3 linked regions of the Lepisosteus oculatus genome follow. The protein of the gene in region 3 purifies or fractionates together with the protein of the main gene of each other region. This does not show direct contact. Links are inferred from orthologs where the notes say so. Each region holds a gene or a part of one and is shown on either strand. Other genes may lie near its edges.

The links.
Region 1: the proteins of rpa2 (region 3) and zufsp purify together in Homo sapiens (affinity purification with western blotting; 3 studies listed by BioGRID, with this or other methods). This does not show direct contact. The link is inferred for Lepisosteus oculatus from reciprocal best matches to the Homo sapiens genes RPA2 and ZUP1.
Region 2: the proteins of rpa2 (region 3) and rad52 purify together in Homo sapiens (affinity purification with western blotting; 3 studies listed by BioGRID and IntAct, with this or other methods). This does not show direct contact. The link is inferred for Lepisosteus oculatus from reciprocal best matches to the Homo sapiens genes RPA2 and RAD52.

Annotation. Positions count from the first base shown.
Region 1 is NC_090697.1:32,627,728-32,635,947, reverse strand, and holds the start of zufsp (zinc finger-containing ubiquitin peptidase 1), read left to right. Parts: upstream 1-3,888; 5' UTR 3,889-3,938; intron 3,939-4,431; exon of another isoform or gene 4,432-4,592; intron 4,593-6,086; 5' UTR 6,087-6,107; coding exon 6,108-6,666; intron 6,667-7,368; coding exon 7,369-7,467; intron 7,468-8,220. Other genes in the region: kpna5 (importin subunit alpha-6), read right to left, coding at 497-598, 814-947, 3,761-3,764. UniProt on the Homo sapiens protein: Deubiquitinase with endodeubiquitinase activity that specifically interacts with and cleaves 'Lys-63'-linked long polyubiquitin chains. Shows only weak activity against 'Lys-11' and 'Lys-48'-linked chains.
Region 2 is NC_090702.1:4,913,610-4,921,829, forward strand, and holds the start of rad52 (DNA repair protein RAD52 homolog), read left to right. Parts: upstream 1-3,122; 5' UTR 3,123-3,206; intron 3,207-3,212; exon of another isoform or gene 3,213-3,492; intron 3,493-3,679; 5' UTR 3,680-3,715; coding exon 3,716-3,784; intron 3,785-4,318; coding exon 4,319-4,420; intron 4,421-5,692; coding exon 5,693-5,786; intron 5,787-6,710; coding exon 6,711-6,778; intron 6,779-8,220. UniProt on the Homo sapiens protein: Involved in double-stranded break repair. Plays a central role in genetic recombination and DNA repair by promoting the annealing of complementary single-stranded DNA and by stimulation of the RAD51 recombinase.
Region 3 is NC_090706.1:4,813,931-4,822,150, reverse strand, and holds the start of rpa2 (replication protein A 32 kDa subunit), read left to right. Parts: upstream 1-3,065; 5' UTR 3,066-3,213; coding exon 3,214-3,226; intron 3,227-4,150; coding exon 4,151-4,239; intron 4,240-4,774; coding exon 4,775-4,876; intron 4,877-5,560; coding exon 5,561-5,674; intron 5,675-6,515; coding exon 6,516-6,590; intron 6,591-7,253; coding exon 7,254-7,370; intron 7,371-8,220. UniProt on the Homo sapiens protein: As part of the heterotrimeric replication protein A complex (RPA/RP-A), binds and stabilizes single-stranded DNA intermediates that form during DNA replication or upon DNA stress.

The sequences.
Region 1 (8,220 bases), on a different chromosome or scaffold from region 3:
TTTGTCTTCGTTCACAGCAATATCTCCTGCACTGCACTGTGCCAGGGGGGGGCTCCTCCAGTCTGCTCACCCACTGAGCCATTCATCTTCCTGGCAGGCCTCAAGCTCCACAGCACCTTGCAGGAGAGCCGACACTGACTGGACAAGGGGCACGTCCTTCACTGAAGTCCCTACACACCCGAGAAGGGGCACTGCCAGCCAATCTCAATACTACCATCAGCAGCACAACTGAATTACTAAGGTGCGGACAGTGAATGAGTTACATGGCCCAGCTGTCTCGAATTCTAAACCACAGTGCTCAACCTGTGCTCAAAGTAGGGATTCTTCAGTTAAGTATTGACTCAGTTGGCGTTTCTCCCCCCAAGAGGATTAAAAATGAAAAAATGTTTAATCTAGGTGTAATAAACATGCTTGATTTTCAGCTTAGTGCTTTAACATTTTAAATACAATCAAAAAACCATGAGGCCTCAATATATGGCGGCATGTAATAACTTACACCTGAAACAGGTACCGTTGAGCTGATATCAGGGTCCTGAATTGGACTTTCCAACATCGATTCGTCATTAACAGGAAGGGAAACATTCCTCCTCTTGAACAGCTGCAGAAATAGAAATCCTTCTCATTATGTATACAAAAAAAAAGAGGGACAGTGTCTTCTGTATGGTACAAACTCAACCCATTATAAAAAAACATTCATTTAATAGGTACTATAAATATTACACTATAACTAGCACAGCTTGCAGTTCACATTCCACTCAGGCAAGGAAAAGACAGGGTGAGGACACATTCCAAGTGAAGAGGAAATGACCCGACCTGTTCCTCCCGCTTTTGTTTTCGGAGCTGAATCCCTTCTTCTTCTCTTCGCCTGCGCATTTCCTGCGGATTCAGCGCTTTGTTCTTGTAACTCTTCATTCGGCAGTTGTCTTTCACGGGGCTTGCCATGGCGTCTGGTTTGAATACAGAGAATAGACTCAGGAGGAGAGAATAAAAAAAGTTCACGGTGAAATTTTAGTGGACGCGTCCCAGTGTCTTTGTGCACTTCAATACACCTTTCCCCTCATTTCACATGGGGGTTCACTCCTGGAAAGCCCCCTGGCTGAAGAAATCACATGTAATGAATATTTAAGTTCATGGGGGGGAAAAAGGGATTGAGGTGCAGATGACCAGCATTAGACTTGTAAACCTCATAATAGACCTCACTTCTTTCTTTCAGTCACATACAACACATCCCTACACTTACTAAGCACTTCTCCCAATTCAGGGAGACAGGGGAGGTGGAGTCTATCCCGGGAAGCAATGGGCGCAAGGCGGGGAACACCCCGGGTGGGACTCTAGTTCATCACGGGACACGCACGCACACACGCACACCAGGACCAGTCTTTCCCAGAAGCCAATTAACCTACCAGTGTCTTTGGACTGTGGGAGAAAACCAGAGTGCCTGGAGGAAACCCATACAAAGCTCCACACAGATAGCACCCAGGGCACGTAACAAGTAAATCAAGTGTACATACACAGCAGAAATAAAAGGTAATTTAACGAATTTCCCATACATTAATAAGAGAAAGTTTGAGATGTATCATTACTGTCTTTACCACCATTCATCTTTCCACTGTAACACATGACTCTAACTAACTAGCCGCATGGCGCTACGGCCCTTGTAGAGCCCTGGCCTCCTCCACGCATCTCGGCCCCATACCAGTCTTCGCCATCCTCTCACTCTCAGCTTTCTGAGGTCTTCAACATCGTTTATCCATCTTTTGAGGACCCTGTAATCCCTAGAGAGTGTGTCCCCCATGGGGCGGATGGGGGAGCCCACCATAACAGCAGTGTGGCCCAAAAATACAGAATAAGGGCCCACGGACCAACAGGGATCCACTGCCTTGTGGACAGAGGAGGGATCCTCAAAGGCTAAGAGAGACGACCCTAACAGAAATCAATTTAGGTCGAACGCTTTAAGGAGGCAGCCCCTCCATCGCACTTCGAGGTGGGACTAACTACCCCATCCTGTAAAAAGTAAAAGTTACAAAACCAAAACATGATTCACCCGACTCAAACTGATCCAACACATCTGACGTTATCACAGATCACGAAAGCGAAGAAACAAACGACTTCCTCACTTGTAACAATTAGGAGTCATGGCTTCTCACCAGATAGTTAAAAAAAAACAGGAGGGAGCCACAGGGAAAATGAAAGAGACAATATGCAGCAAGCATCAACACAAACGAAAAAGGACACGCTGCTGGTTTTCTGGGAAGGTGGCAGAGACGTGCCACCAGTGACTGAGTCTGCATTAGACCATGTATACACAAGACTCTGCCAAAGCTTGCTGAAATTCTGGCATCAATGAACGCTATGTACATCCGTTTGTAAAATGTGTGTAAAAACCAAAACTACAGGGAAGACCTCTATGGTGGAATTGTTACCAATTCATATTGCAGTAATACAGTGATATCCCATTTCAGTCTCCACAAAAAAGATTCCCTTTTAGACCTTTCATTCGTTTTTTTTGGTGTGTGTGTGTGTGGGGGGGGGCGTTGAACATTCTTTAACAAGTTGGTACACAAGCGACTCTGGGACCTTCACTTTCTTTTACCTTGGGAAACCACTACCGGTAATTTCCCCCCCATTTTACTCAAAGTATACCCAAGTTGACTGAAATACATAAAGCCATTTCAGCTTCGAAGAATGCAGTCTAGATATTACAAGCGTAGATCATAGACAAAGTGAAAATATTAAGTGACAGCTTTAATGCACCAAAAATAGTGACATTTTAAACTTAAGTGACCTTCAGCAACAGCTAGCGACATTTGCAGAATTTATGACAGGGGTGTCGTCAGTCAACAACAGGAGAACTGTTGGGTAGAAGAACTGGAAAGGGTAGAAATGTGAAACAGCGTTATTAGTAGTTTGAGGGGTTCAAATTCCGGGAGAGGCACCGATGTTGCGCACTGATCATTAACTCGAACTGTTTCCTGCCCATGCCCAGCTATATAAATGGGTACAAATGGACCAAAACTGTCAGCCAAATAACGTTAACTCGGCGGAGAACACAAACCCGAACCTACGCTTAGAGCAATGCCAATTATTTTATTCGAAAAACATCACTGCCTGACCCGTCATCGCCCATCAACTATTTGTTCATACGGTCACTGTACATTTACGATACACTTCAAACCAGACCCATCACAGGTACGAACTAAGGCTAGGCGACGTTACCAGATAAGATCATAATAGGTACAAATTACGATATTCAACATTAACCTAAAGAGACAATTACATACCGCGTACAATTTATTTAAAAAAAACGCAAGTCGGCAAGATTCCAGGACAAATGGCAAACACATTTAAAGACCACGGTTACCTGTGTCTTCAGGTGGGCTGCACCAGGCGTGCTCACGAGTATCACAAGACACTAAACAAAACCAAGGTAAAATACAAGACCGCAGCCAACCTTTAGATCTTCTTCCACAGCCTGTCTAGGACTTCCAGTGACCCCAAACGCCTGGTTACGAGCCAGTTGCCAGCCTCTGGGGCCTACACCCTCCGCCAACTGGCCACCTAACACCGGAGCTCAGAACTGCAGGCACTACAGATTTTCTAGTTACATCCCCTCCCACGAAAGCCACCTTAACTGTAAATAAACAGCTGAAACTCCTTCAGCCTGGCGCCTGGCCTCCCCCGTGTACCTTAAAGAGCACGGCATGCTCCGCTTGTCAAACAAGTGACTACGATGACCGTGTAAGGGTTAGGAAGCGCTTACCCATGTACTGCCTTGCGTGCTTAGTAATTGCGCAGCTCTATTTCCGAGCACTGCCTCACCAGGATTGCTAACACAGTTCAGCGCAATATGGCGCACCTCTGTCAATTGCACAGAGGACTCCCAGCAGCCCCCTTATGTCCGTCAGCAGGAGATTGTGGCCAATCAGCGCTGGAGCTCGGTAAGATCCAGGATCCACGACTGCTGCAGGTTTTTCTGACAGACGAAAACGCCTGCATTGCACAGGGACACTGTGTTATAATAAAAGCAGAACATAATTTAAAGGCCTGACCCGATCAGAGATTTAGTAAAAGCATCTCCGCGCGTTACGGATACTTCAATGCGAGATTTTGAAATAGTATGAAAGAAGTATGAGGTATAGACTTGTTGGGTTAGGATGCCTCCGTCTTCAGCATTACACACAGGGACATTGAGTCGCCAGAGTCCCGTCCTGACCACACAGGAGGTAGACGGAGTACTTTAGCACTTATTCCCAACACAGGGAATACTCTCGGAGCACGGTTTACTCATAACATAAAAGTGTAAGCATGCTACAGAGCGTGTTTTGTACGAACAGTGCACAGAGAGGGTTAATGTGTCTATTTCTTCCCAAGCGTCGAGATTCCGCATTACGTCACCTTCATGTTCTCAAATGGCCACGGCCAATGACGTGACGTATTTGCACTCAATTGGCTCGCGGCCTTGCCCGGGCGGGTGGGATTCACGTGCGGAAGAGAGGAGTCGGCTGAATGGAAAATGAAAACGCAAGTGTTGTTGCTGCAATAGTGAGTGTACAGCGGCAGCGATCAAAGCGGTAGAAATACGAGAAAGAAGGGTGAGGAAGCGAGGCAAATTAAAGCGCACATTTCTTGCCCTGTTTTTATCCGTTTTCAGAGCTTTCGGTGTCTTTAAAGATGATTTTAAGTTGTTATGCTTCTCTACCTTTCCGGAGAAAAGCGCGGAATAGTGTTAATTATTTATATTCTTTTTATCTTTGTTATGCATTGTTATTCCCGGTTAGCTCTTGGCCTTGGTTCTTCAGGACTGTTGTCATTCACGCCGCGGTGAATGACAACAATCCTGTTTTGTTTGTTTTGTTTTGATTCAGCTTTAAGAGATTTCTTTTAAAAACATCATATTTTCAATGTACAGTATGTTGTGGTGTCCGGGTACAGGAGCGAATTTGTTGAAACTTTCTATTCTTTAATTCATAGTTACTGATAAGTACTTATTTCGGATTACATGTGTCAATATTTTTTAACTGAAACGTATACAATTTATGTAACAGAATAACACTCAATTAGTTTTTGGATGAGGACCGAAATATACACTGTGTGCTTATGTAAACGACCATGAAACCTCGCAGTCTCTGGTCCAACTGCACCTTGAGTCTCGTACGTATTTTGTATTTTGCATACGTAATCCATTTCTTAATTTCATAAACCCTTTCCTGTTAAACGCCTTTTGTCAAGCATCTGTAAGTTGCTTTGGATAAAAGTCTGAAAATAATATTGCTATTGGGAATAGTATTATTAAGATACGGACTCCAGCTCATGTCAATTCACGATGCATTTCCACTGGTGTCCTCTGCTGTGTGTTTTTATTTGGAAGACGTCCAGCAACAGAACAGCAACAAAAAAAGTCAAGCTCTTTAAACCTGTCAGTGCAGATCAGATCATTACTTCAACCCAGGAATTTGTTAAGTTTAACTTCTCTGGAGAGATTCCAATGTAGCAATATCCTTTTTTGTTATTTGGTTATCAAAGCTGTACACTTAATGTAAATGACATCTTGTGCTTTGTACCATTTTAAGGTTCTGTAACATCTCTTGATATGATTTCTAAGCTGTGACTGTATTATTTAACATTTTACTGCCCTTTTAGAGCTTTTTACAGTGTCAAGAATATGTAAATGATGTCCATACAAACACCTAGGCCTACAGAAAGTCGTGTTTTATGCTGCACAAATGACAATTCATTTTGAACTAACCTTTTCTACGTATTGTGTCCTTTCCACAGATTTCTTACTACTTGTAAATTATGCCAGAACTGTGGAATATATATTACAGTGTTTAAAACCAACCAATATTACCCATCGTGGTATAATGTTATAAAAGTTTAAAATACTGTCATCTTTCAATCTTTATTTTCTTTTTGTTCTGTTCAGTCAGGGTTTGTGTAATAATGCACGACACTTACATTGTTTGCTTTTTATTAACGGATTTATAGTTTTTGTAAATTATTTTTGTTATTAGAGGTTGATGTCAGATGTTTGTCATTGTGTACCTCTGTGGCAAGATCTGATCACGCAGCTTTATTTTTTATTTCAGATATAATTGAAGGCTGACATCATGTTTGCTTGTGAAATCTGTGGTGAGGAGGGGCTGTCTGAAGCTGACATGAAGACTCACCTCCTCCTCAGCCATTTGGAAAATGAAATTAGGTGCCCGATCTGCTGTCTGTCAGGTGTGACCTACGATGAACTGCTATTTCATATTGATATAGCCCACTCAGAGAATAACACTGAGCTATCAGAGACCTCCGCTCGGAAAGAGGTTAAATCAGGTTTGGATATAGAGGTGGTAGAAGCATCCACCTCTGGCCACACGGACAACACTATGGAAGTATCCGATCCTGAAGGTCCCCAGAACTCAAAGCATGTAGTTGGTATGTCTCAGGATGCTGCACACGTGCTAAAGGATTCTTTTACATGGAAGGAAAATGGATTAAAAATACAAGATCAAGGAGAATCCACAAAAGTCCCCCAAACGCCGAGAGAAACTGGGATGGCTGCTTCAGAAAGAGTTGTGAGTCACGCAGCATGTACATCCGAACGGGAGCATGTGGCGAAGGAATGCTCAGGACCACAAGTAAAGGCAAAACAAAAACGCATTCATTCACCCAAGAAAGGTAGGTATTGTATAGCAGCGTTGTAATAACGCTTGTCTCTCATGTAGTTCCTTTCCTAACCATCTGTATCTGGCATTTTCCTTATGGATCAAAGAAGGAAAAATAAGTGTGAAATTAAAAAAAAACCCTGCAAGTTATTTATTAACAGCTAGGCCTTGCACGAATAAGAAGAGTGCCATAAATAATACTATTTCTTCTAGATTTTTTCTAGAATATTTATTCATTATTCTAGATTTGAAGTTCCCAGCAGGCACCGGGTTTGTTACTGTATGTGTTTGTTACTCTGCTGCAAACACTTGTCGTCTGGATTGCATTTCCTGGAATTAGGAGCTAACAGAGTTACGTTCAGTGTGACGCAGATTGCATTTAGGGATGCATCGGATAGATAAGTAGATATTTAACAGAGTTCTTCCCATTCAGTGCTTTTTGTGGAGTTTTGATCCAGTACTCTAAACCTGTAGCACAATAGGACCGAACAGTATTGACAGTATTGTTCACTTTGGTGTCTCTGAACTTCAAAGCTGTAGTAGGTTCTTAGCGTGGAATCTTCTTCAAGTTTATGACTGCATAAGTGCAAGAAGTTGGTCTTTCCGTTTCCCTTTTTGCAGACAATTTGCATTAGCAGCTAGGCATGTTGTCTATTTTGCTCAGAACTATGTGTCCTTTGTATTTTAATCTTTTTTTATTCTTATTGTTATAAAGAGAGGATGTACCCATGTCCAATGTGTTCCCTCGTCTGCGCCGATTGTTACATTCTGCAGGAGCACGTTGAGCTCCACCTACAAGAACAACACACTGAAGGTATAGTTAGCACAACCGTAATTGTAAGATACTGTATTAGTATGTCCTTTATAGAACATTAAACAGTGTACTGGCCATGGAAAGCCAGGTGATGATTCACTTTTTTATTAGGCAACTGCTACTTTTCCAGTCCCCTTCAGGGTTCTCGGATCCTGCGCGTTCCTTAAAATGTCAGTTTTGTTTAACTAGTATGTAACTCCCGGTCTTAAATTTAGTCTTTTTTGTAGTTTGCAACTCTTTCCTGGGTAGTTTTTTTTGCCCCGATTATCCATTGTGTTTCTGGCGTGCGGGTCAGTTTAACAGTAAATTATAAGAAATTATTGGCATTCTTTTATTTACAGTTTTATAAATAATTTTATATTCATCCACTGGTCTGTACAGCTGACTCCACTGGGTTATTCCTGGAGTGATAGAATAGTTACCGGAAGTTTTACATCTTCAAACGTTTTAGAACGTAAAATTCACAAAGAAGAGGAAGCCATTTGTCCATTAGTTTGATTGTTTTTTAGTAGATCTCAGCCAGAAGTTTCTCAAAGAATGCTGTGGCTAGGTAGATTTTTCCATACTCCCGCAATCCTTTGTGTAGAGACGTGCCTCCTGTTCTTAGTTTTAAATGAGCTTCCCATCAGTCTCCATTCATGTCCCAATGTTTGTGTTTCACTGTTCTTTCTGAAGTCCACTGGGCTGTCTTTCTCAGTGTGAGTGAAAATATGCAGTTCTTCTCTGAACAGAAAAATGGCTACATATAAGAGT
Region 2 (8,220 bases), on a different chromosome or scaffold from region 3:
CGTGAGTGAATTGGTTTCCTCAGTTCCCAAGAGCTATTTTTGGCCTGAAAGGTTTAGAATGGGCTTTATCAATAGGATTTGAATGCCCTCTGGTGGCAGATTTGAGATTTGACTACAGTGCTGCAATGGCAATATCTTTTACTTTCAATTTAATATCCTCTGGCCCAAATTGTTTTATGGTACAATTCAATAGAACAAGGAAGACAAAACAGAAAACAATAGTGTTATAGGAGATAAGAGAGAAGAGAGTTACTTGATTGTTTGAGAGTGATATATTCTACTGGGAGAGGGAGGAGGGAACTCAGTTGAACTGGCAGCCCAATATGTGATCTCCTGTCACAGCCTGAGGAACAGTGAGTCTGTCTCCCAGTAATGCTCCATATGTTTACAATATATGTAAATTTTATGATATGTCTCTGTTGTAAATGCCTTTAATATGTCTGTAGATTTTATTTTACTTTTATTTTTTGTTTCGTTGCATGTTAATTTTATTATTTTTATTTGCTTTGGCAACACTGATTGTACCCATCGGTCATGCTAATAAAGCACCTTGAATTGAATTGCAGCGAGGATGAACAACTTCCTGATTCTGTGGCTTTTACATCTGGGGTGTCTCTCAGATGGGAGTACTGTAAATGCATAAGGGAGGAGATGAGACGCACTTCATAAAGCTCTTGGCCTTCTTTACAACCTTTCAGTTGCAGAGGATGTATAACTGGATTTGATTTAGCCCCATTATCTCGCTACTTAATTTAATAAAATTCCCCAGCCAGTTAAAGGTACTGATGTTGCTAAACCAACAGGTGAGACAATATATTAAGTCACTTTCTATAAATGACTTAAAGAAAAGTGTTAAAATAGCTCTACCTGCAGTATGTATGCACTATATTCTAATGTCTTACAGTAGGTTGGAGGAGTATTGCATTTTTTTTTTTTCAAAAAACTGAGCCCATGGTTTCCAAGATTACCAAGGTTTTTGATTCTTGGCTTCTCATGAACATTTTAGTTCATCATCACATAAATAGCATAAGCCTGGATGAACAGAAAACATTTACTTCAGGATCCACGAAGAAACCTTTGATAGACTTCAGATTTTGTGTGGACTTCAGAATCCTCATGCTCATTTATATGGCTCGGCACCTGAGAACCAATCTGAATTATTTTCCAACTCCACACCTCATAATAACCTTCTTTCATCTGGTCTGCTGCTTGTCCCAAAAGCTCATTTACACTCTATGGGTGACAAGGCCAGCTCTTATTCTGCCCAGAAGCTCTGGAATGCCATCCTGAATGATATGAGTCACCATTCAAATCCAAGCTCAAAACCTTCTTCTTCTGTGTATTTAATGGGCATCTGTGTCTATTCCTTGATTCTCCTACTAATTTTCTAATCTCCTGTGTTTCTTTGTGCTAATTTGTCCCATCTTCCTTTGTCTTACTTTCATAGACTACTTGGAAAATACTTCTACACTATGAGTTTAAGGCCAGGGCTTCAAAAACAAAAGTAAATGAGCAAAAGTAAAACTCTCAACTTTGTTCCACTACTGGCTTTGTCAGAAGCATGAGGAAGACTACTTTCAAAAGATGAAGTAGCAGCTGGGGACCTGGTATAACACCAATTTTCAAATATAAAAATGTAAAAGTTTGCTAAAATGCCACCTTAAACTCCCCTGGATTCTAAAACGTTGCAACAAGTCAAAAGAGAAGAGATCTCAACAACCCTAATTCAATTTACACAACGTTGTGCCATCACACATACTGTTGTGCCAGGCCTCTAAACTGGTGGATCTACATGGCTTGACACCTCAGAACCTATCTGAATGATCTTCCTACTAGCTTAGTCTGAGCATACGGAAACCACAACAGCCAGCAAAAACAACATGCTGGAAGACTTCATCCTGAAGAACAAAAAGCATAAGCTTGGATCACCACTAAAGACTTACTCTCAAGCAAACCCATTTGACTCCCATTATACTGTATACTAAACCAAACTAAATCAACCCCACGTGGATATTTGGCTCTCAGCCCTTCACCAATTATCCTATTAATCAAACAATGCACCTCATGTGAACTTACAATATACCAACAATAGAGACCTCGATTAGCTCTAATGGCAGGTCAGCGAAAACTACTTTGCTCATCACTGTTGGCCTGCCACAGCAATCTCTGGGACCAGTCTAATACTGTCCACAGCCTCTGTAGTCTTGTGAAAATTTCGAACTTTAAATTTGAATCTTAGCTGGCATCATCCACTCACCAGTGACTCAGAGCCAAAGTCAATAGGCACAGGCCACAACATGGAACATAACCCTGTTTTTAATTATGGTCAGATCCACAATTTGTACATAAATATGATATTGAGTGAAAAATTTAACCCTGACATTAACCCTATTAAAACCAGTACAGAACATTTGTTTTTTTACTACTTATCAAAATAATGCAGAGATCTCAGATCAACAGTTTTCAGAATATAGGAAAAGATTCCAACTCTTCAATGCCCTGATGATTTAAAATAGTGACTGCCAGCAAACTTCAATCAATCGGTTATTAACTCAGAATAGATCAACTGGATGTATTACCAAGAATACTTTCCTCGTGCAAAAGTTGGAAGTCATTGGTACTGTATCTGGGTGGTCAAGCTAGTTCTACTGGGATACAAAAGGAAAGGCTCATGTTCAGCCAAAAGTGTCCCTGGGATACTGTAGAGAGCAGACCAATGCTACATACTTTCTAAATTGTTTAAATGTACCCCTAGTTCAGATGATACATTGACAACTTCCATATGAAAGTCACTGAGACCTGCAAGAAGTTTCTATCAGTTGCCAGTGTTAGGAAAGTGGCAGAGCTTTGCTCATATGATTTTATAAGAGGACCATTGGCATGTGTGAGTGTAGATCATATATCAGGTATGATTCTTTAGACAGTTTACTGATTAAAGAAAAAAAATAATATGTTAAAAGAGTAAAGTGTATTTTATAAAGTTAATTTGCAAATTCTAATTAAATTTTTAGATGGGAAGGCGAATATACAGCACAATATCTGTGTAAATGAGAAATTCCTCTATGCCTGTACAAATATGGCGGCGGTAAATGAAATGCTGTGATCGCTCTGGATCCCAGCATGCAACCCTCACAGGAAACTGTCATGTCTGCCGGGAAGTTATGAAAAAGTTTACTTTTGACTAGTCAAGAGCTGGTGCTGCCGTAGTAAGAGTTTTCGGGTTTATCTGCATATTTAGTATTTTAGACTCCTCGTATATTTTATTTTTAACCACATACGCTGATTTCTTGGGAGATAAAGGAATGCGTGCATCAGTGACGATAAAACATTGCATTGATATCTTGCATGAAGTCCAGCATTTTTTTTTAGTTAAAAGTCATCGCCTTTAAATGTAGATTTTACGTTGTCAGCAGTGCGCATCTTGTTTTAGGCGTGAGTTATCCTGCCAAAAGAGTTGAACGTGCACAGATCTGCACAAGATTTGACATTTTAGTAAGTTGCAACGAGAAAGACCCTTTCCAAGCTTGTGTTTGTGGATCAATATACCTCAAAATTTAAAGATGATGGAAAATGATTGGATTGATGAAATGCATATTTTAGGTGTTTTCTTTTTTTTTTAATTTAACCCTCACTGCTGGTTTGATTACTCGTGTTTTATTACTGAATTATCTCGTTTAAGCGTGCATAAAATGAAACCCTGGAGGACGGAGAGGACATGACGCACGATAACACGGCTCACAGCGGTTGCAGAAGCACAAACACTAACTCCATGTATTTCGGACAGGTCCGTCAACACAATTTAAGCACTTTTGCCGAGACTCCGCGTGTTATATTGTCCTAATGATTAAATTATTGCTGTCGTATACCCCGGTATGAAGGCGGGTGTTGGATGATTAAAAAAAAGTGTTCAGTGGTTAGCATTGCTGCCTGTTCTGGGTGCTGTCTGTGAGGAGTTTGTATGTAAACCCCTATTTTGCATGCTTTTCCACTGGGTGCTCTGGTTTCCTCCCGCAGTCCAGAGACATCTTACTGGTGGATTAATTGGTTTCTTCGAACATTGGCCCTGGTGTGAGTGTGTGTGAGCCCTGCAGTGAGCTGGCGTTCAGTCTGAGTGTAGCCTTTGTGCCCAATGCTTGCCAGGATAGGCTCTGGCTCGCCAGCAACCCTGTATTGAAAGAAGAGGTAACAAAATGGATGGATGGTTTACACATTACTCCAAAAACACATCTTCTGTGAAGCCTAGGGAAATGTCCCACTGTGTTGTTTTATTTCTGCTGGAGACGAGGACGTCAGCTCTGCGTGTTTTTGATCTCTCCAGTACCAGTACACTGCAGAGGAATACCAAGCTGTCCAGAATGCATTGCGACAGAAGCTGGGACCAGAATACATTAGTACCAGACAGGCTGGAGGGGGACAAAAGGTACGTTTTTTGCTTTCATGTACTGGAGCAGGGTGCAATTTTGACGTGCTGTGCTCTCGTCTCCAGAATCATTTCACTCTCTTTTTGCTTTACTACATACTGCATAACAAACATAAAAATTGACAGAGCCAAGGCTATCTGTACCACATCATACGTTAAAAATACAGAGGTTTCAGAGATGAGAGAGGGTCATTTTGTCCCTGTTGTTCTTCTAGTTCTTAGTAACTCATGGACTCCATGAGTTGTCATAAAAGCTGCACCAGGCCAAGAAGCCTGGTAGTATGAAAAAAGGTTAAATTGTGTTAAAGCAGAATGCCTATATATAGATAGAACTGTAGACAGTTAAATGTTATTCCTAAAAGCTGGAGTTCAAGTGGCACAAACACCGAATGAAGGGGGTTTAGATGGAATCAGGGTGGAAGTTCATATACTGTATGTTACATGTGTCTCGAAGTTCATATACTGTATGTTTCTGTGAAAAGCAAGCATTAGATACGATGCTTTGTAGGCTTCGTCTAGCTTGGGCCTAGATGTGCAAGGTTGCATGTATTCTGCGTGCAGCCCATTAAAAGTCTTAAAAGGAACATAGGAAAAAGTAATAGGTTTATTCCATGCTGAAAAACGAGAAGGGAGAAAACACAACGTTTCAGCCCTGGAGCCTTCTGACAGCTGATTTAACACGAACGAGGTTCTTGTTGTTTTTAGAACATTTTCTAAGAATTTTTTTTTAGCTATTTTTAAAAGCTAACATACAACCTGGCCGACACACGACTGAACAATAAAAATGCTTTACTGCAAGAAAACCTATGCCCTAGAAGCACATATGTTGTGCTGTACTGTACAACAAAGTTGAGAAAGCTCTGTGGCTCAGGATCTGCGCCTGTGGCTGGAAGGTTACCGGTTCAAATCCTGCGGCCGGCAGAGGAATCCTACTCCATTGGGCCCCTGAGCAAGGCCCTTCACCCCAACTGCTCCAGGGGGGCCGTACAATAGCTGACCCTGTGCTCTGACCCCCAGCTTCTCTCCCTGTCTGGGTGTTTCATGGAGAGCAAGCTGGGGTCTGCGAAAAGACACATTCCTCATGCAAGAAATTGTAAAGGGTTAATAAAGTGATGATGAAAATACTAAGATTTGCCTTTTTTGGAACCTCATAGAAAACAAACTGCTAAAATTCAGCCTTGTGATGTTATTAAACAAACACATTTGCCTTTAGATTTCCAGGACTTCATTAGAAGGGAAATCTGGCTATTTTTTTTTCATTTCTTGTTACAGGTGTGTTACATTGAAGGCCACAAGGTTATAAGTCTGGCCAATGAGATGTTTGGTTATAACGGATGGTCCCACAGCATCTCTCAGCAGAATATTGGTATGCTACAAATGTTGAGCCTTTCTGATGTGATTTAGAGTATTCATACTTAAGAAATTCCCAATTGCCCTGATGTGAGCTGAGGCCATCAGTCCTGTTTCCTGGAGACCTGGGTTCAAAGCTTTGTTTTTTACCCGCACGCAAAACAGATACATTTGGAAGAAGGAAATCCCTGCATGAAAGTACCGTATATGTGTTATATGTGTCTTTAAATGGACAAGATTGTTTATATATTCTTATTTAATCAGAACCAAAAAACTACATCTGTAAATTGCCAAAAGATAGGTTAGTTGTATGGTTGCTTTTAACACTGGGAAGGCGGACAGCTTAATATAATGCAATAATTACAACTCCGCATGTTAAGTGTCACTGAGCTCTGTTACAGGAGCATGTTTTACAGTTTAGACTTATCTAAATTATTGATTTGTATCTTCTTGAGTCTGTTCTAAGTAATGATGTTGTTGCCTTTTGAGAGTGACATGCAAATTACCTGATCCTGCAAAAAAAAAAGCTTCTCTGAAATAATGCAAGGCGTACTAGTGAATAATGCTTCTTTTCTGAGGTTTATAATATTAATATGCTTAAAATTAAATGAACAGTATGCGTCCTACCACACGCTATTGAAGAGCTATCTGTGGGTTAGCTTAGTTAACATGGCAAACACAAATCTAAGTAGTTAAAATAATAATAAAGTAAAACAAACTGTACAAGTAGAGTAAAAGTAGAGTAAAAAGCAAAAGAAATACTGTAAAATAATTGTTTAGATCATATTGCACTCATGATTGGTTAAATGTAACCTCAGTTAATGTAAGCCTGAAGTTAAATGTGCAACATAGACCTACCTTAAATTTTAATCTCTGCCTTTTTTCAACATTTGCCCTCGAGAGTTTTTTAATTGGTTTTTCTGTTCTGCAACTTCTTTAGATTTTGTGGACCTCATCAATGGCAAGTTCTACGTTGGGGTTAGCGCATTTGTGAAAGTTCAGCTCAAGGTAAGGTCTAGAACTGAAACACTTGCTCATGTTAAATTTACTGTGGTGTTCTTTAACAGGGGCTTAGCTCAATCACATATAAAGAAAAGAAAGGTGATTCAGAAAAAAACCCCAGAGATGTCTGGATTTCAACAGCAATTGCACCTCCTTGAGAAATTGCTTGAAAGGTTTGCAGCGGTTGTTTGGATAAATACTCTCTCTTCAGCAGGTTACACAGTACAGTCAAATTGAAAGATCAGAATTGAGCTCCATTGTGTAAGATCACAGTATTCTGGCTTAACTAAGGAACAAGTAAAGGTTTATACCATGCTGAAAAGAGAACACAACGTTTCGGCTGCGGAGCCTTTTTCAGGTGTAAGAGGACCTGAAGATGATGGTGAAGATGCTCTCACACCTGACGAAGGCTCCACAGCCGAAACATTGTGTTTCTTTTCTTATCTTTTTAGCATGGAATACACCTTTACCTGTTCCTTTGCAGCCTACGCATGCTGACGCAGCCACCTACTTGAACTTCTTCAACCCACTTAGCTTTCCGCTAAATCTTTTTCAGATCTCTTCATTATTCCTCCCCTCCTCCCTGGGCTCCTTGCCCCCTTATCTCACCAAAACCAGCATTCCATCTCTTCCCAGTGATCTGCTTCAAGACCAGGCTTTCTAACTACCTCCTGTTCTTTCACAGGTGTTGTCGTTATAATATCATTCCTAAAGGATTTAGTCTGAACACCTTCAACTTTGACTCAGACACCACCCACAGTAATACTCAGAGACTTCTTCAACAAATTTTGAGGAAACTAATGGCTCTCACACCTGAAGAAGGCTCCACAGCAGAAACATTGTGTTTCCTTTCTTCTCTTTTCAGCATGGAATAAACCTTTACCTTTTCCTTTGCAGCCTACACATGCTGACGCAGCTCCCTATTTAAACTACATCAACTAACTTTCTCCCTGTTTTGACTTTTTATACTATGTTTTCAGGTCTCTTGACAGAGTCAAGTCAGGATAAACTAGCCTGATGATAATGAGGACTGTTATAGGCTTTAACTATAAGCCACCAGCCATAATACCCTGCCACTCCCAACTGGCGTGGTGTGAGCCTGGACAGTACCTGGATGGGAGACTCCTGGGGAAAACCTAAGGTTGCTGCTGGAAGAGGTGTTAGTGAGATCAGCAGGGGGCGCTCACCCTGTGGTCTATGTGGGTTGTCACGCCCCAGTATAGGGTCACTATACTGTAAAAAGGCGCCGTCCTTCGGATGAGACATAAAACCGAGGTCTGACTCTCTTTGGTCATTAAAAATCCCAGGGCGTTTCTTGAAAAGAGAAGGGATGTAACCCCGGCGTCTTGTCCAAATTTCCCATTGTCCTTTACCAATCAGGGCCTCCTAATAATCCCCAACTATGAATTGGCTTCATTACTCTGCTCTCCTCCCCACTGAGAGCTGAT
Region 3 (8,220 bases):
GTAGGTCTTCAGATTTGTGTTCCAAATGATTTTGAAATATTGTTGTTTCGCAGTGCTGGGGCCCTGGGTTCAGTTGCTGGGGTGCTATCAGCATGGAGTGTATATGTTCTCCGCATGTTTGTATGGGTTTCCTCTGGGTGCTTTAGTTTCCTCCCACAGCTCAAAGACATGCTGATAATGTCATTGACCTTAGTGTGTGTGTGTGTGTCTGCCCTGTGACAGACTGGCATCCTGCCCAGGGTGTAACCTGCTTTGTGCCCCTTGCTTGCCTGGATAGACTCCAGCTCCCCGGTTTGATAAAGTGGTTACAAAATGGATGAATGATTTCTAAATTACTTAATTAAGAAACAGTTTGATTGCTCACAGTTCAGTTGTGTTTTTATGTAAAACATACTTAAAACAAACACTAAGTAATGTACTGATGACTCCTAGACAAGGCTGTATATCTATAGAAATGACTTATAATTCATTTTAAGACTCAACTCCATTTAATAGTTAAAGATCATACTGCTCTGCATCTTAGCTTCTTTGTGTGCGAGGGCTGCAGTTGTACACAAAAGTGGCCGGACTCAGGCCCTTTCTTTCTCCCTTTAGTGGAAGCAGCTGATTGGAAAAGCTTTTTGTCCACGTTTCATTATTAATTTTCCATTTCCTCCGGACAAAGTCATACTATACTCCCTCACATACCAAGCCAAACCTCCAGTCTCAGCTAATTTTAGCAGATCTCCACATTTCCTATAGAAACGTGACCTGTGCTCCTTTGCATCCTTTATTTCTGACTCCTAATTTCCTGTGTTTTCATTTTAATACTCCAAAGCTTCTTTCGGTTACAGAGCCTCCACTGTTGGCGCTCAAATGGAGTGTTCTTGAGTTAAAGAAAGGTTAGTTATTACAGACTGCTGACTTATTATAGATGAGAAAGTCTCTGTTCATTAAAGCAACAGCCACAAACGCTCAAATGCAAATCTTGGTCATTATACAGAACTGAGAAAAACTAGAAAAATAGGTGATGAATGATTTTGGATTCATTAAGACCTTGTATTTTTCAGAACAAAATCTTATATTTAAACCTATTTGTATTTCAAAGAATGATTAGATAAAATGGCTACGGTTAGTTTAGTACAGCATTAACATCTATCTTCAAGCATTCCTTAACAAATATAGGAAAACCACATTCTAGGCCACATTTGGCTTTCCGTTAAAGAGCTACTATCTCTGAAGAATGAGAAACACGGACAGCTCTTTTTCTTTAGCTTTTGATAGTTATATACAAATATAATTTTCATTTTAGCAAGCCAAATTGTACACACCTGTAATTAATGAAAAGTGCAAGAGAAGATAACTTGAATTTGCTTAGTCAGAAGAATTAAAGTCCACTACAAGCAATGAAAGCCATTTTCTCATCTTACCTTGCCAATTGAGCCAAAAGGAAACACACTCAATAACAACTATTCCATTCTCCTGAATGCAATTTTTAAAAATAGCTCGTTCCCATGGCATTTGCAGAAGCCCTTGAGCTGTAATGAATCGCAGATGTTTCCCAGATGTTTTCTGCAGCCCTCAGGCTTCCCAAAGATGCCAAAAATCCACTGAGGATTGAGGGAATTGGTAAACACTGTGACACAGACCCAGAGTTCAGTGTTCATAAAAGGCCAGTCACCATTTGCAACAAAATGAAAGAAAAACTGAGAATTAGAAGCTCTGACTCCTAATGAAGAAGGAAATTTCTTGAAAAAAATACATCTTTAAATATGTCTGCAGTTAACCAAATGACAGAATGAATTATTGTCATATTATTGTTACATTAAACAGATAGCACAGATGTGTACTACAGAAACACACTCCCGAAACATTGTAAGTGTGTTTAAAAATCGGTATGATTGAAGAGATGATCAAATAAATTGAAATAACATGTTAAAAATGTATACTTGGATTCGAGTAGATGTTCTCTACAACAGCATAACAAACCTCTTTTAAATACATTTTACTCAAAAAAACTTTGAGTTTAATTGAAAAAACGTTGACCTCAGTTGTGAATACTGAGAACTGATTAGTTTTGCTTTTCTTCAGATTTATTGTACTGATATTCCTAAAGAGGCAAACGTATCATTGATACATGAGGGTCAGTGAAGGGTTTTCCAGCAGAAGAGATTAAATTACCTGGATGGGAGACCTCCTGCAAAAAACTAAGGTTGCTGCTGGAAGAGGTGTAAGTAGGGTCAGCAGGGGGCGCTCACCCTGCGGTCTGTGTGGGTCCTAATGTCCCAGTATAGTGACGGGGACACTATACTGTAAAAAAGGTGCCTTCTTTTCAGATGAGATGTAAAACTGTGGTCCTGGCTCTCTGTGGTCATTAAAAAGAGTGTTTCTCGAAAAGAGTAGGGGTGTTACCTCAGTGTCCTGGCCAAATTTCCCATTGGCCCTTACCAATCATGGCCTCCTATTAATCCCCATCTATGAACTGCATCACTGTTCTCCTCCCCACTGAGAGCTGGTGTGTGGGGAGCGAACTGGTGCACTCTGGCTGGTGTCGCATCATCTAGATGAGGATACACATTGGTGGAGGGGAGTCCCCACTACCTGGAAAACACCTTGAGTGAAGTGTCCAGAAAAGCGCTCTATAAATGGAAGGAATTATTACCATCGTAATAATTCAGGCCGACAGTCTACGCCTGTACTCAGCTCACAGTATCGGATTCTCTTGGATTTTCCGTCCAATGTATGTAAGCAGTGTCCTCTAGTGTAAGCTCTGGGAAGTCCAGTAATATACTTATGAAAAACATTTTTTTTTTAAAGTTGGTCCTGCCAGACTTTGGTCTGGAGAAATATGCACTAACAATTATCGAGCCTAAAAGCTAAATAAATTATTTTGCCTAAGAACACCACTTTTCATTTCGCCTGCCGTCTTTCCCTCAGTAAGTATGGCTACCCGCTCTGTTCTACGTACCCCTGCATACTTCCGTGAGAAATGAAGGCAAGTGTTGGCAAAATAGTGTCCTGGGCTGACGTCAGAGAGCGCTGTCGTCGCTGATTGGGCAAAGGAGTTCGCGGGAGTTTATGGCGCATGTGCTGTGAGCTTTGTGTCTGGTGTTGTGGCGCGCTTAAAACGTAGAGGAAGAATTCTGCTCCAGGTGTCTGATATAACCAAAACTTTTGAGCTACTAATAGTATTTTTTTTTGTTGTTCTCAGTATTGTTTTAATATATTCTAATCATGTGGAACCAAGGTAAGAGGTGTTAACCTTGTTCGTTGTAAAACAAGCGCTGACGCTTGTTTTAACATCTGATTTCTGGATTAAGCTGCATGTTGGACCGCGGTTTGTTTTGATGAGCAAGAATTTGAAATTTAGTTTGATTTACCTAAAAAATGTAAAGCGGTTTATCTTTTAATTTTCACTTAAGCTTTATTATACAGGATGCTACAAAACACTGAAAGAAGACCGTTATCCGTTTCCACTCGATTTGCTAACCAAATACTTCGAGATAAGTTTGAAAATCCAAAGAGAAATGTAATTATTACCGTGAACTTGGTAGTTGAATGTGAGTCACAGGTATGGGTCAGAACTGTTCTTGCTTATGTACGTAAATACAGTAGTAGTAACAAGACCTGTTCTGAAAGCTCGTTACAGCATCTAATTACAGGTACCCATAGTACTGACAAGATTTATGCGTCCAGTAAGTAAAACGACAGCACTGTTTTTAAGGTCTTTAAGGTAATATTTAGGCGTTTAATGATATTTGCAGTACAGAATTGAGTTTAGATGCAAGTTTAGTTTCAGTTGCAATACTTTGAAGGGACGAGCTCTTCCACTGGGGCCTCACAGTCCAGCTCAGGACTGTCCAGTCCTGGTGCCGGTACCCACTGTCCAGCAGGCTTTATACATCTCATTATGGGTGTAAGAACTGGGACAATCTGTTAAAGTGTCCCAATCTGGCTCAGCTGGGAGGAGCCCTGCAGTGACTGCACCAGAGTTGGGCACTCCTGGTCCACAGCTCTCTGGTCACTTGCTCACTGTCTAGGCTTTAGACGATCTGGTGTTTCCCAGGGAGAGCTGGTAGGGCCGGTGAGCGTGGACACCGCAGTGTGAGGCCGTCAGGACCCTTCTGGTCCACTTGCTGGGTTTCTCTCTGTAAACGGGTCTCTGTCGCAGGTTATGGCGACTCCAGCATGGCGGGGGGTTACACACAGTCCCCCGGGGGCTTCGGATCTCCTGCCCCCTCGCAAGGAGAGAAGAAATCGGTGAGTACACCGATTCTCCGGAAGCGCACCCGGAATAAGAAGGCAGAAACGGAACCCATACCCGCCACTGCCCCGTTGGCATGCGCTGTCTGATCTCCATTGAGGTAGAAGTCAAAGACGGGGGCTCATGCCACAGGAGCAGAAATGTTCTTGTGACTCGGCAGATTTGCACTTTGCCTTGCTGTGCACATTGGTGAAGTGAACGGAGACTGGCCAGCTGTTCATCCTGTACCCACCGAACACAGTGCTGGGGGGGGGGCCCTGGGGGGCTCATCCCACCCCTGCTCTTGGCGACACTTCTCCCGTTGGGCACGGCCACTTGGGACATCCTGGTCACGGCCGGAGTCGGCTTGAACCCGTGACGCAGGCCAACCAGGGGGACGAGGGGTGTGGAGCAAGCACCTTTACTGGTTGAGCCACTTGGGCTCCCAATTAAGTTGACTCGTTTAAATTAACTGAATTAATTGGCAGTGTGGTTGGCCCGCTGCGATGTGTCGGACTGATGTGGCGCCTGTTCTTTCTGCTCGTGCCGCAGAGAGCGAGGACACAGCAGATCGTCCCCTGCACCGTCTCCCAGCTGCTGTCCTCCTCCCAGGCAGAGGACGTCTTCAAGGTGGGCGAGGTGGAGGTCTCCCAGGTAAGGGCAGGTTCCGCTACGGCTCACCTGGGTGGCTTCCCACCAGGCCCTGCCTTGGGTTAAGCTCCTCGTTAAGGGTGTTATCAGGTCCCCTGCAAAAGCTGCGTTTGAGTGTCGTTTCTTTTGGTGCAGTAACCCCTTGGTTGATGTTTTTGTTCTGCCTAAAAACACACTATTATATGAGGGAAAAAAAATATGCATACTATATATATGCTTTCGGGGTGGTTTGACTTGGAACGATTCCAAGTCAAACGCGGTCAATGAAAATTCTTTTTGTGCTTTTTTTGTATTATATAACCTATTTTTTATCGTGTCATAAATAGACAATAAAATTCGCTAAAGCAAGCAAAGCACAAACAATACCCATCATAAACAATAGGCTTACCCCTACAGGGCATCGTTGAGACTGATGGGTAGTATTTTTTTTCTTTTTTTTTTTCTTATTCGTGTATTTCATTGTTAATGTGGGGAAAGTCTGATATTTATAATTTTACAGAGAAATTCTTCTTTAGCGGGTTTAGTTTATTACAACTGAAGTCTGTTAAACCAAGGGTTTAGATTACTTATTGCAATCTTTAATGTAAGGCTTGCTGTGAGGGTGGAGGGTGAAGGACCATGTGTTGCACTGATGGGAAACGCTGGGCTGATTTTGATCTGCAGGTTCACCATCTGGGTGTTTTCTAGGTCACATTAGTGGGGATTGTCCGTAACGCAGAGAAAGCTCCGACCAACATCCTGTACAAAGTGGACGATATGACAGGCCCGCCCTTGGACGTCAGGCAGTGGGTGGACACCGATGTAAGTGCTTTTGCCTGGAATTACATCTTTCATGTAACTGGATGGAATTTTCTAATGCAGATTCTTAGCATCCAATATGGTGTGAGAATTTCTGATGTTTTGTAGTACTGTTCTTACTACTGTTCTTTTTTTGTGATTATTTTGTTTTTGTTATTGACGGCACTTTTGAATATTTGAATTCCTGTATTATTTTTTAATTGTCTCATTTGTATTGACTATTTTTTATTTCTTCCAAATCGCCAATCCCCATAATGGACTCTTTATTTTCTCTTAAATGCTCTTTTTTTCTCTTTTAAAACATCAAGATCATCCAGAGTATACAAAAAGAAAAAAAGAAAACAAAGAGTTAAAAGAATCTCTGTCTTTTAAGTCTGGAATTAAAAAAAATATACAAAAGTACAATATAGCTAATCGTGAGAACAAATAAACAACTTTCCTCTTTCTTTTAACGTACCCAATTAAAGAGTATACAAGAACAGATACACAAAATTAAAATTACTGATCTTAAGAGTCCATATATCAATACAGCCACCAACTCGAACTCCAACACTACATGCAATTGATCACCATCAAAAACCACCGTAACACCTTCTTCTCTATCTATGAAGTTTAAATCTTTATTTTCTTACAGTCTTTTTTTTCTGTCCAAAGCGTTTGATTATGTAACCTGCCTTGGATAAAGGCATCAGTGAACTACCATGATGGATATTTGGAAACGGAGGATTTCATTTAAAAATGCATCATTCTGGGGCATCCAAGAGCAGATCTTTGTGAACCTTAAGTGTTTCCTTTTGCCTGTGTGTAATGTGATGCCCTGTGGTTTGTTTCGGGTCTCCCACAGGAGGCGGGCAGCGACAACATCGTGGTTCCTCCTGCTACCTACGTGAAAGTTTCGGGTCATCTTCGGGCTTTCCAGGTAATTTCCGCACTCCACCACGCTCTGCCGATTGGCCTGGAGAAAAGGCCTTCCCGCTGTTCACTTTTATTGTCATGATCGACCAAGACAGAGCTGTGCTCCACAAGGAACTAGCGCGCTTCTTCATTGGCTACATCCGCCCATCCATTTTCTACCATCCGCCCAGTCGGGGGTTGCAGGCAGCAGGAGCCCTCCACTAGCAGCGGGCACGTGGGATGACAGCGTGTTGCAGGGCAGACACTCACAATAAAGCCAGTTTTCCCAGAAGCCAATTAACAAACTAGTGCGTCATTGGACTGCGGGCGGGAAACAGGCCACCTGAAGGAAATCTCATGCAGACACGGGGGGAACACAAAACTCCACACTGATGGCACCTCAGCAGTTGAACCAGGGGCCCTGCGAGGCCGCAGTGCTGATCACTGCCCTGGACAGTTGTCCTGACAAACTGCGGACAAACCTAGAGGCATTTAAAACTGAGGGTTTTTGTTATCTTGGTCATTATGTTATTTCCATCTTCTTAAATCTTTAATATGCCATACACATATACAGCTCTGACAGTGTTTGTAAGCCCCTGAATTTTTCTGAGATATCCTATACCAGTGTATAGTTTCCAGTTTCAAAAACCGTATTTGTTTTTATTTGCGATTTCCTGTTCTCCTTCAGGGCCACAAGAGCTTGGTGGCTTTCAAAGTCAGGCCCCTGGAGGACATGAACGAGTTCACTTCACACATGCTGGAAGTAGTGCAGGCACACATGCTTCTCAGTAGACCACAGGGCACGGTGAGTACCCAGTACCCTCAGCACAGTGCTCCCCTTGGGGCGTGTAGAAACACACACTACTGGAAGAGGAGAAATGGCAAACAAACCTAGCAGGATTTAAAACTGAGTTTTTTGTAAGATCAGATGGCTTTATTGGCTATATACAATTCTTGTATTAGGAATTTCTTTTCGCATACCCCAGCTTGCTCTCCATGAGAGACACAGACAGGGAGAGAAGCTTGGGGTCAGAGCACAGGGTCAGCTATTTATACAGCGCCCCTAGAGCAGTTGGGGTGAAGGGCCTTGCTCAGGGGCCCAACGGAGTAGGATTCCTCTGCCGGCCGTGGGATACGAACTGGCAACCTTCCAGCCAGAGAGCCACCACACCGTCCCTGTGCTCTTGGTCACTCTGTTATATCCATCTTCTTTAATTTTTAATATTCCAGACTCCTCCTTTGAAATCATTAGCTAATGAACAGAAAGCTTTTTCAGTGTTGCTTACGTTTGCACCTTACTCTCTTCTCTTGGGTGTTTTTATTAGTGCAGTGGTTCTCAAACTTTTTGGACCAAGTACCACCCCTAATCCAACTAAAGCATCCAGTTACCACCTACAAGTCATCATTTCATAGGAACCCCAGAAATTCTCAATGACCAACATGAGCGCGCGTGCACACACACTCACACATACATATAATAAATATTATAATAATAAACTTTATTTGATATAGCGCCTTTAAAGGTGGCTTCTCAAAGTGTTTTACAGAAAAAAAACTAACAACAACTAATAAAAAGGCACCATTTCAATGAGAGGGGTGAGCCTGTTTAGTCGAGCAAAGCAGAGGTGAATTAATTTTTCGAGCCTTGATACAAT